Linked DNA regions of Xenopus tropicalis. The protein of the gene in region 1 purifies or fractionates together with the protein of each later gene. This does not show direct contact. Links are inferred from orthologs where the notes say so. Each region holds a gene or a part of one and is shown in the gene's direction. Other genes may lie near its edges.

Region 1 (3,654 bases):
AATTAACACAATAGGTAAGACTTTTGTTAAAATTACATTCTGTCTATTGTTTTAATTAAAAATCCATATTTTCCTATTTTTTGCCATTTCATGAAATTTGAGCTATTTTCACTGACCAAAGGCTGATGCCACATGGCTGTTCCTCGCCTGTGGGGAAAAATGCAGGCCGACAATCAGCCCCTACACGGCATCAGCCTTCTACTTTGCCTGGATCTGGGACCATTGTATTGGCCTGGGTGTAGGAACATGCAGTGGATCCTGGCAAAGAAATGCAAGACTTTGAGTTCATGTTCAAAAGGGATGTACACTGTCCCTTTAAGGGTATTTGTTTCAGGCCTTAGTTGTCTTTGGTGGTTCGAGTTATTTCTTTAAACCTTCACTTCTGGCTCTTTTTCTTTAGCTCATCTTTTGTTTTTGCTTTTTTTTTTTTTTTAAAATATGGCAGAGTAAGCCCTATTCTTTTAAATCATTTTCCATTATATGTGTGTCTGTCTCTAGATTAGTGCCGGCCCGTGGCCTCCATTAAAGTCTGGCTGCTGTCAAGTTGGAACAACTAATATACCTCAAAAGAGGAAGCCCAAACAAATTCCATAAAATCTGGGACCAATGGCTGGATAAATACCCCCTCCCCACTATAGTAAATGACTAATAAAATATATACAGTTATAGGGTTTCACCCATATATAAGTAACTATAACCAGAATGTGTATTACTGTGCAATAAAACTCTATTTACTTGGTGAAAAACTTTTATTGACAATGTTAACAGGCCATATATTCCATGTTTGACAATTGTATACCTCAACTACTGTAATGCCCAATGTATACTCAATAAAAAGTACCTGAATTAAAAAAAGAAAAAGTCTGGCTGCTGTGACTGCTTACCTTTGTGAAAGCTTTAAATGGTATCAGTACTGAGATTAACTGGCCCCCTGTACTGGTAACACCTCAGATTCAGGCTGTAAGCCACTCTGGGCACACTTGTAAGGCCCTGCATTGTTCATACCTTAGCCTTTAAAGTGGATGTTTACCTTTAAATTAGCTTTTAGTATGATGTAGAGAATACTATTCTGCAATCGGTCTTCATTTTTCATTATTTGCTGTTTTTGAATTATTTAGCTTTCTGTTTACCAGCCCTCCAGTTTGGAATTTCTGCAGCCGTCTGGTTGCTAGGGTCCAATTAAACCTAGCGACCAGGCAGTGACTTAAAAGAGAGACAGGAATATGAATAAAGGAGGGCGTAAATAGAAAGATAAGTAATAAAAAGTTACAATAACTATAGAATTGTAGCCTCACAGAGCAATAGGTTGTTTTGGCAGCTGGGTCAGTGACCTCATTTACAAGTTGGAAGAAGAGGATGGCAGATAATTAAAAAACTATAAAAAATGAAGACCAACTGAGAAGTGTCTAAGAATGGGCCATTTTATAACACACTAAAAGTTAACCTAAAGGTGAAATAGCCCATTAAGTGCCCGCCTTGTTATGTTGTTCACACCTCAGACGCAGGAGTGATACCAGCATTGCGTCACTGTACACGATTGGTTACTTGCATGGTCTTGGTTTCCCTGTCTTCTGCCCTACTCTGACTGTGTGCACTGACTGTGTGTGCCATACTCTGCCTGCCCTATGCTGCTTGTATACGCCATACTCTGCCTACCCATGTGTGCCATACTCTACCTGCCCAGTGCTGCCTATGTGTGCTGTACTTTGCCTACCCTACTATGTGTGTGCCTGGCCTATGTTGCCTGTGGGCCATTTAGGTGTTTGGTGGTAGGAGGAGCAGGCATATAGATTTATGAGTATGTCTTAAAGCAGCGGTTCTCAACCTGTGGGGGTCGAACAACCCTTTCACAGGGGTCGCCCCATATTTCCGATGGTCTTAAAAGTAATTTTATGGTTGGGGGTCACCACAACATGAGGAACTGTATTAAAGGGTTGTGGCATTAGGAAGGTTGAGAACCACTGTCTTAAAGGGATACTGTCATGATTCTTATGATGTACTTTTTATTTCTAAATTATATTATTTACATAGTAAATAATTCACTCTACTATTTAAAATTTTATTGAATCAACAAATTTATTTTTTTTAGTTTTAATATTGGTGTGTAAACCGCCATTTCAGTGCATTGTGCCTGCGTCTGAGCCTTCAGAAGGAGCCAGTGCTACACATTAGAACTGCTTTCAGATAACCTATTGTTTCTCTTACTCTTATGTAACTGGTGGAGTCCCAAGCAGGACTTGTATTTCTTACTACTGAGTGCTAATGTAAAAAATGTATATAATTGTTTATACTATGCTTTTGCCAGGCTTCCCTTTGATTTGACTTTTTTTACCTTCAGATCCTCACACTGTACGATAGCCTTTCTGCAGTTGACAGCAATAGAATTGTTGATTATGTGCAAAGCCTTCAAAAAGAGGATGGATCATTTGCTGGAGACAAATGGGGTAAAATAGTTTTCTTTTACTTGTTAAACAATTTAATCTCTAAAATATGACTAAAGCTCCAAGACTTAAGCTCAAAAACATCTTGGTCTTACACTCCTGGATACATTCTTTAACATTCTGAAATAGGATATTGATTCTGTTTTTCTCTCATGTTGCAGGGGAGATTGATACACGATTTTCTTTCTGTGCTGTTGCAACACTTGCCCTTTTGGTAAGTTAGATGTGCGTTTTTTATGAGATTTGCAGAATGCCACAATGCATTCTTCTGTTATAGTGCAGTCATGTTGGCTTATCAGCGACACCATGTACTTACACTGTAAGATACATAAACACGCACTGTGTCACACATTGAGGGGGCTACTATTTCCTAGAAAAAACTAAATTCCATGCTTTGCATGTATGTTATTGCCTCTTTAATATGGAGATGTGGTAGCCCTTTGTTCAGGCTGTGGTTCATTCCTGCCTGTCTAATGTGGACCCACAGCAGCTTTTCTTATTGTTTAAAGTTATGCTGACACATTCCTATGAAAATTCATAGGATTTAATGGCCTATTAATATAATTAAATTAATATGCTGCAATTTTTTTCTTTCCAGTTGAAAAGGCTTATGATTTGTTGTCATTTGCATTTGTCCAGTTGCAACATTTGGATTGCTACATTTTTTATATACATGCTAGGCTTATTTAAAATGTTTCTAAACATTACAGTGTATGTTGAGACATTGCTGTGATTCCTAAACAACTAATTATGTCAAATGATTAGACGCTCACAATTGGATCACATAATGTGAATTAAATGGTTTTGATTTTTAGCATTGACAGCAAGGGGAAATTTCAGTTACAGGGAAAGGGGTATTAAGAAACACTGCATGTGCCATTAGCCTAAACGTTTTATTTATTATATTTGCTGTAAAGGGTTAATTTTTTTTGGGGGGGGGACTAGGTTATTAATTGCCTGTAAGGATTATTTACAAACAAAAAAGCTAAATTGCTCCCCAAGTTTCATGTTTGCTTTCATTTTTCTAATTGCAAAATATTCTTTTAATTTGGTTCTAATTTAAGTATTAAATTATGTAAATCTTTCTTGCAGGGCAGGCTGGATGCTATTAACATAGAAAAAGCCATAGAATTTGTTTTATCTTGTATGAACTTTGATGGTGGTTTTGGTTGCAGGCCAGGTTCTGAATCCCATGCAGGTCAGGTAAGAAGTG
Region 2 (3,754 bases), on another chromosome or scaffold:
GCTTTCGATACTTACACCTGGTTATCATCCCATTAATAGAATCCTATGCCTCTAATTTCCCTTTCAAATGCACTGTGAATCCTAGCAGTTCACATACTTTTGCCACACACATATGTGTGTGTGTGGCAACTTTTTTCAATAAATCAACTAGTGTAATGTTTTTAACTCATTTGTTTAAATGGGTACTTAGTATCAAGTTTTAGGTGGGGAAAAACAGATCATGTTTTTGATCAAATGAATGCAGGAATATTGGAAATTCAAAAAGGTTCACAAATTTTCCAGCACCATTGTATTAGACCAGTAATCCCTAACCATTGGCTTATAAGCAACATGTTGCTTACCAACCCCTTGGATGTTTCCCAAACAAGTTATTTTTGAATTTCTGACTTGGTGGCAAGTTTTGTTTGAATAAAAACAAGGTTTACTACAGGTATGGGACCTGTTATCCAGAATGCTCGGGACCTGGGGTATTCCGGATAAGAGGTCTTTCAGTAATTCGGATCTCCTACCTTTAAGTCTACTTAAAAAAAATATTTAAACAGTAATTAAATCCAATAGGATTGTTTTGGCTTCAATAAGGATTTATTATATCTTAGTTGGGATCAATTACAAGGTAGTGTTTTATTATTACAGAGAAAAAGGAAACCATTTTTTAAAATGTGAATTATTTGATTATTGAGTCTATGGGAGATGGCCTTTCCGTAATTCAGAACTTTCTGGATAATTGGTTTCTGGATAATTCAAGTTGTCAGTGTTTCCCTTATGACTGCAAAATTGGTATCATGTTTGGTTGTTTGACATATGCGTGTGGCCACCAGGCATAGGCTGAACTAATTTGTGCCCGAAAAATAGCAGCCAATCAGTATGAAGCAAACATCTTATTGGTTGCTATGGGTTACTGCTCTTGGGCATACTTTTTTTGCTTTTTATTATATATATGTTCCATGTGCACAATTTAATGTATCGTCATCATTTATTTATATAGTGCCAGCAAGTTATGCAGCGCTTTACATTAACTTTTCAGAATGAGTACACAGAAAAAATAGCTTCTAAATTACCAGTGTAAGTTTGATATTTTAAAAAAATTAAATAAAGCTGAATTTGCAAAGTAAGCCTTCTTAACCTACAAATACTAATTTGCAGTGTTCTTCTGTCTCAAAGGTTTCCTCTTGGAGTGGACGTGGCATATTTATGGCGATTCGGCGCATAAGAACAGAATACTGCCAGGCTCAGCACGGCTTTGGCGCGGACAAGTGAGCTGAAAAGTCTGCCTCTTTGAGCCCACCCTCCAATCATCAGCCTTTTGCCAGCTGCAGTAAAGCATATGGGAGTTACTATTTATTTTCATACCTTGAGACCATCTTGCTTTTGCAAATTAATTTTTCCTTTTGTGAAGGGAAGACTTTTACAAAGTGGGGACTAAGTGCGGAGGCCATCTCTGCAGTTATTTTTTCTTTTCCAAATGAGTGCCTCCTTGCCATAAAGACCATTGGTCCATTTTTTTTTTTTTAATTTCTTTTTCATTTCCCTTCCATAAGTTATGTAAGAAAATTCCATTGGATGCTGTACTGCATCCCTCACAAAGTGCTTGATTGCATTAAAACCATCGCTGGGACTTTTGCAATAAGTCTTTTTTTTTTTTTTCTTCCTGCAAAAAAATTTTTTTTTTTCTTTATAGAAATTTTTAATATTTTTTGCTGTGAATTTTTCAGGATTTTTTCCCAAGAAATATCCTTATTTTTTTAATCTGATCAAAATGAACCGTCCAGCTCCAGTAGAAATCTCTCATGAGTGCATGCGTTTTCTTATTACCCATAATCCAACCAATGCCACACTCAACAAGTTCACAGAGGTAAGAATCTACATGCAGTATCGTCTAGGCAGTTGGCTATACCAATGAACTCAAGCAGTTCTAATACAAACCACAGAAAAAATGTTTTGTTTTCATTATTCAGTGAGGTATTCCATTCAGGAAGGATTTTTTTCCTCAATTGACCCTGCATTAGTAGATGGGTCTATATTGATTTACTGGAATTTGTGGCTAATGGTAACCGCTACTATAATACTTAAAGGGATGGTTCACCTTTAATTTAACTTTTAGCATGTCTTAGAATGAACAATTCTAAGCAACTTTACACCTGGTCTTTATTATTTGTTTCTTATGGTTTTTGAATTATTAGCCTTTTTCTTTAAAAACTCTGTAGTTTTGAAGAGGGGGTCACTGACCCCGACAGCCAAAAACTATTGCTCTGTGAGGCTACAGTTTTATTGTTATTGTTACTTTTTATAACTTTTTTCTATTAAGTCCCTCTCCTATTCATATATCAGTCTCTTATTCAAGCCACTCCCTGGTTGCTAAGGAGAACAACTCCTATAAAATATGATTCCCAAAAAATTGTGAAAAAAATATGCCGTTAGTTACCACATATTGCAAATAGTGATGAGTGAATAAACGTAAAAACTGCGCCATAAGGAAGAGGTGAAGGGGGTCTAGGCAATGATAGTTAAGGGGGCTTTTTCCACCCAATGGTATAGTTCTCCTTTAACCTGTTTCATACGTTAATTGTACCTGCAGCAGTGCACCTCCCAAGAAGCATTGTTCTTTAGAAGTACAACAGGTATAGGGTCTCTTACCTCAGAAAGCTTGAATTATGAAAATGTAGTTATTTGAGCAGAAAATTCAATATCTTTTCCTCCTTTTTACTGTTTTATTACCCTTTCTCTTTAGTAATAATACAGTACCTCGTATTTGATGGTAACTAAGCTGCATGAATCCATATTGATGGAAAAGCAATCCTATTGGGCTTATTAAAATGTTTAAAAGTTTTTTTTTGTAGGCTTATGGTATGGAAATACCTTTGGAAAAATCCCACGTCTTTGCAGGTGCAAAGTTTTAATCATCACAACCTAAAAATAATGTTATCAGAATGCCCCATGTGCAAATATCCCATTTTGTTTTTCATGTTTTAGGTTGATTTTATTTTATCACTTTTTTGTTTGCAGAAAAGTGCACTTCAGCAAGACAGTAATTGCTTTTAAAGTGCATTGTATTTTTGTGTTCCTTTAATGTTTTATAGCTTGGGTTTTAATTACTCAAATGTAATCTTCACCATGTTTTTCATATTGCAGGAGCTAAAGAAATATGGAGTTACCACCCTTGTGAGAGTATGCGATGCAACATATGATAAAGCACCGGTAGAAAAGGAAGGGATACAGGTTTTAGTAAGTATACTACTAGCCTACTGACTTACTCCGGTGAGGAGCTTAAGTTGAATTTTGTATTCATTTGTTTAATTGAAGTTTATCAGTGCCACATGTCTGTGGTACCCTGTGAAATGAAGAATATGGCTCGCCCTGTGTGAATTTCAAAATTAAATATAAATAAATATGTTTGTGTCTTAGATAAACTGATTGCAATGCAGGATTCTGCTGGAGAAGCTCTATTAACTTGTTAATGTTTTCTCATGACAGTATTGCAGTAAGACTTATATCAAATGAGGGGCAGCCTCTGAGAAAATGCAGGCAGAGAAAAGTCTATTCACTCCACTCCGTCTCTACAATGACAGGCCTGTTTGCAGACACGTGGAGCAGATATCTGTGCGAAAACACAAAACTATGTGTGTTTACATGATATCCACTCCCTTTGTCTGTACACAGTCCAATGCTGTCTATCGGTGAGAGACACTGAGCAGAGGGGAGCACGTGGGCACTACCTGGAGAGAGTGCAGGCAGAGAGAAGTTGACTCTGCACTTC
Region 3 (3,754 bases), on another chromosome or scaffold:
GTGTTTTAGCAGATGCAATTCTCAGTATTGTCTATGGCAGGGTATTTTCTGGAGTTTAGTAGCCTTGAAAAAGTAGCTGCTACTAGTAGCCCAGTGTGTCTTCACCCTAATTGGTAAATATCTGCCCCTTGTTTGCACAAAAATAGCAGCACCCTCAGACAGCATCCTAAAACACGTAGGGTTAGTTTTTTTTTATATATTTTTCCACCCATTGACTGCTCCTGAATTAGCCATTATGTGGAAAACCTGGCCCATCTACAAAAAAAAAATACTAAAAAGATCATTAATTTCACGAGGACCAAAAAAAAAACCTTTTTCCTTTTTAATCAATTTTGGAGAAGCAGCTCTGATGGCAGCAAGTACTACTGGCAACTAATAGAAAAATGTTTTATTTTTCAATTCCCTGGCGCATACTACTTATGCTCTCAGCAGAAAATATAAATGCCTTCTGAGGCAACATTGTGGGCAGGGCGGCAACCAACACAAAAAAAAAAAAAAAAGTATTTTTCTGTTCTCTAACACATGTAGGAGGTGCGAGCAGAGCAAACCAGTCTGTGAGTGGACCTACTTCCACTTCTTAGCTGCTTCCGACTGTGTATCTCTAACTTCCGCCATCCCTGCGTTTCACTCCAACCAGGCGGCTACGAGATGCGTCATTGCGCTTGCGTGTAGTCGTGACGCCACAGTCTCGCGTGATGAGACTTGTGGCGTTGGGATTTCCTGTAAGACAGGCGGCAAGGAGCTTGCAATCAACAGCTTTGCGGGACGTGTGAGTAGCCATCCGGACTGCGGGCTGTGTTGGGAAAATAGGGAGTGTCCGGGGAATGCTGGACTGTTGGGGATTATGCTTGGAGGCCTTCAGAGTTTGTATGCTTGTACTAATGTAGAGGGGCCTCTGTACTGGTACATACAGAAAAGATGCATTTGTTGCCCTTCACTTCAATGGGTAATTATCGACTTGGTCTCTTTTGCTGGGTCAGTAGCCTCATTGCCCATGTGTGGGTGTCAGAATATTTGTCTCCTCTACTGATTTCTGAACAGGGCTCGAAATAATGAGGTTTTTTTTGGCAGAGGCATCAATAATCATATCAACCAAAATTGCCCCTACGAAATGGCTGGCTAATGGGGCAAAGAGTCTGTAATTCTGGCCTAATTATTAGGTTGTGAATGTCCTGCTTTATGGAAGTAATATAACTTGTGCCTGTAAATGTAGAGACAAAAACAATGGGGTGGTTGTTCATTTCCTGTTTAGAGTAATACTCTGAAATAGCAGGAATCTAGGTATGTGCATGACTGCTTACTTCCATAATATACCATTTATCATTTTTTGAATAGATAACCTGTTTGTTTGTCTGTATTTTTCTTATTAGTTCTGCTGTGACAGTTCAGGAAAGAAACTTACCTTACTATTCTCATTTGAAGTTGAACTGCTTCCTGGTATTGGACCCAAAGTAGGCTGTGCAAAGCAAGAACTGCCTTTTGTACTCTGAATCATCCAGCAGAATCATTTCAACAGTCTCCCTAGATAACAACACTGTTTCCAGGAGGATATAACCAACTTGGATCCTAAGTCAGAACACTAGCCCCATCTTCACTCCAACCTGACGTGGTGTATGTGCTGTGTGACCCCACTTGTCCGAGCCCATGAGGGAGTACAAGGTGGTGGTGTTAGGCAGTGGTGGGGTTGGGAAGTCAGCCCTAACTGTCCAGTTTGTTACGGGCACCTTTATTGAAAAGTATGATCCTACAATTGAGGATTTTTATCGCAAAGAAATTGAGGTGGACTCATCACCCTCTGTGCTGGAGATCTTGGACACAGCAGGCACAGAACAGTTTGCTTCTATGAGGGATCTTTACATTAAGAATGGCCAGGGCTTTATCTTGGTGTACAGCTTGGTAAATCAACAGTCATTCCAGGTGAGATAACCAGTTCCTTCACATACAGTGCCAAGTATGAATGAAAATGTTACATGTCAGTGAATTTTTAAATAGTTTACTATAGTGATGCAAAGAAACACCCATTGCTACGTTATAGAAATCTTGCTGATTTGCCAGATTTTGCTTTGCACTTACAGAGGCAGCATACCTCTTAAGATTAGTTAAGCTTGTGCTGAACATACTTTTTTCCTATTAATTAAGACATATGTGTTGGCTAAAGAGAGTAAGCATTAAAATCGAGTAATGTCACATGCTACTTCCTGTTTATACAAGCACAATTGAGAAAAAAATCACTAATCCGCTAAGAGGCCCTTTGTATAATAAGCTGCTCTTCTCACAAAGACTGCAGTCGGGGAAGGGGTTTGTTTATGCAGAAGGCTTCTCAGTGGATTTTTGGTGTGTGCTTTTAGAAGAACAAAAGTAGAGTATGACCTATTTCAGTTTAAGATTTTGCCAAATTTAGTTTAAACAACAACAATTTCTCAATTAAAGCAACAGGCAAAAAGTATGTTCACCACAAACCATATCCTCTGACAAAAAGCAAATTGTGCACCTTGGATTTAAAAATCCAATATCTTTATTGTTTCAGTATAATAACATAGCGCAGCTAAGAGGATTTCAGAGGAGATCAAAGGCTTTATGTGTTTAATAGCCCCAGGCTACTTTTTTAGAACCACAAACCATATTCATTGATCTAATGTTGAAGAAGAGGGTGTACTGCCCCTTTAACCTGGCCATATGCTGAAAATTCAAGTTTGGCCAGTTTGCCAAGCGAGTGGATCTTTGCCCAATTTGGCCACCCACGGGATGGCATACGTGCTGTGTGTCAGGGAAGTACATGTATAAATATCTCACTTTGGGTCTGTCAAGCCCTATAACTGTTATTATACATCAGAAGTTAAATGTTTTCAGAGTATGTGAGCTGTATAAAGGCTATTTCTGACTCTTTCTTTTTGTGGTCACATAACTTTTTGGAGATTTCTAATATTTTTGGAATTTACAGTAGGGCCACTGTATAATATTTTTTTCATAGTTACTATGGTTTTCTTGTGTCAAAAGACCAGTAAGTCATAAAGGGATTTATTTTTTTACATTTAATGTTCATCCAGCACCTAATATACTGTTTATTGACAAATGTAGGGCCTGTTTTGTATAAGAGTTTTTCACTCTGTAGTTATGTAGAGAGTCATTAAAGGGATGGTTCACTTTTAAGTTAAAATGTAGTATCTTATATAATGGCCTATACCTAGCAACTTTGCAAGTGGTTTTCATTACTTATATTTTATAGTTTTTTTAATTATTTGTCTTCTTTCTCTGACTTTTTCCAGCTTCCTAATGGGGTCCAAAAAAACTATTGCTTTGTGAGGCTGCAATTTCATTGCTGTTACTTTTTATTACTATTCAGGCCCTCTCCTATTCATATTCCATCTCTTCTTTAAGAGTACTTTTATAAAAAGTTCTGCTTGGATTAAGCACTGTAATGATTAAACTGAGCTCAGGAGAGGAGGTTAGGAGAGAAAAACATTTCCCCAGCAGAGTGCACAGCTAGAACAGAGTTTCTATGGGAACCAGCAGTGCCATCTCTTCATTGGCTGCTAGACTGGATGGGATGTCTGGTAATGAGTTGAGAAGAACTGTGCATGCTCAGTTAAGGTGGCCATAAACATGCAGATTTAAGCTGCCGATTTGAGTCCTTTAGACAGATTCGGCAGCTTATCTGCCCATGTATGGGCATCCCCGACCGACATCTGGCCTAAAATCGCCCAGACATTGATAAGGCAGGTTTGATTCTCCGTTGGATTGGGAAACACATCGG

What was found.
Region 2: the proteins of rabggtb (region 1) and ptp4a2 purify together in Homo sapiens (affinity purification with mass spectrometry; 3 studies listed by BioGRID and IntAct, counting the BioPlex papers as one, with this or other methods). This does not show direct contact. The link is inferred for Xenopus tropicalis from reciprocal best matches to the Homo sapiens genes RABGGTB and PTP4A2.
Region 3: the proteins of rabggtb (region 1) and rap2c purify together in Homo sapiens (co-immunoprecipitation; 3 studies listed by BioGRID and IntAct, counting the BioPlex papers as one, with this or other methods). This does not show direct contact. The link is inferred for Xenopus tropicalis from reciprocal best matches to the Homo sapiens genes RABGGTB and RAP2C.

What each region holds. Positions count from the first base shown.
Region 1 is NC_030680.2:81,024,538-81,028,191, forward strand, and holds part of rabggtb (geranylgeranyl transferase type-2 subunit beta), read left to right. Parts: intron 1-2,338; coding exon 2,339-2,444; intron 2,445-2,602; coding exon 2,603-2,655; intron 2,656-3,533; coding exon 3,534-3,644; intron 3,645-3,654. UniProt on the Homo sapiens protein: Catalyzes the transfer of a geranylgeranyl moiety from geranylgeranyl diphosphate to both cysteines of Rab proteins with the C-terminal sequence -XXCC, -XCXC and -CCXX, such as RAB1A, RAB3A, RAB5A and RAB7A.
Region 2 is NC_030678.2:86,676,232-86,679,985, forward strand, and holds the start of ptp4a2 (protein tyrosine phosphatase type IVA 2), read left to right. Parts: upstream 1-1,406; 5' UTR 1,407-1,756; coding exon 1,757-1,852; intron 1,853-3,129; coding exon 3,130-3,222; intron 3,223-3,754.
Region 3 is NC_030684.2:67,494,544-67,498,297, reverse strand, and holds the start of rap2c (ras-related protein Rap-2c), read left to right. Parts: upstream 1-1,370; 5' UTR 1,371-1,644; coding exon 1,645-1,917; intron 1,918-3,754. UniProt on the Homo sapiens protein: Small GTP-binding protein which cycles between a GDP-bound inactive and a GTP-bound active form. May play a role in cytoskeletal rearrangements and regulate cell spreading through activation of the effector TNIK.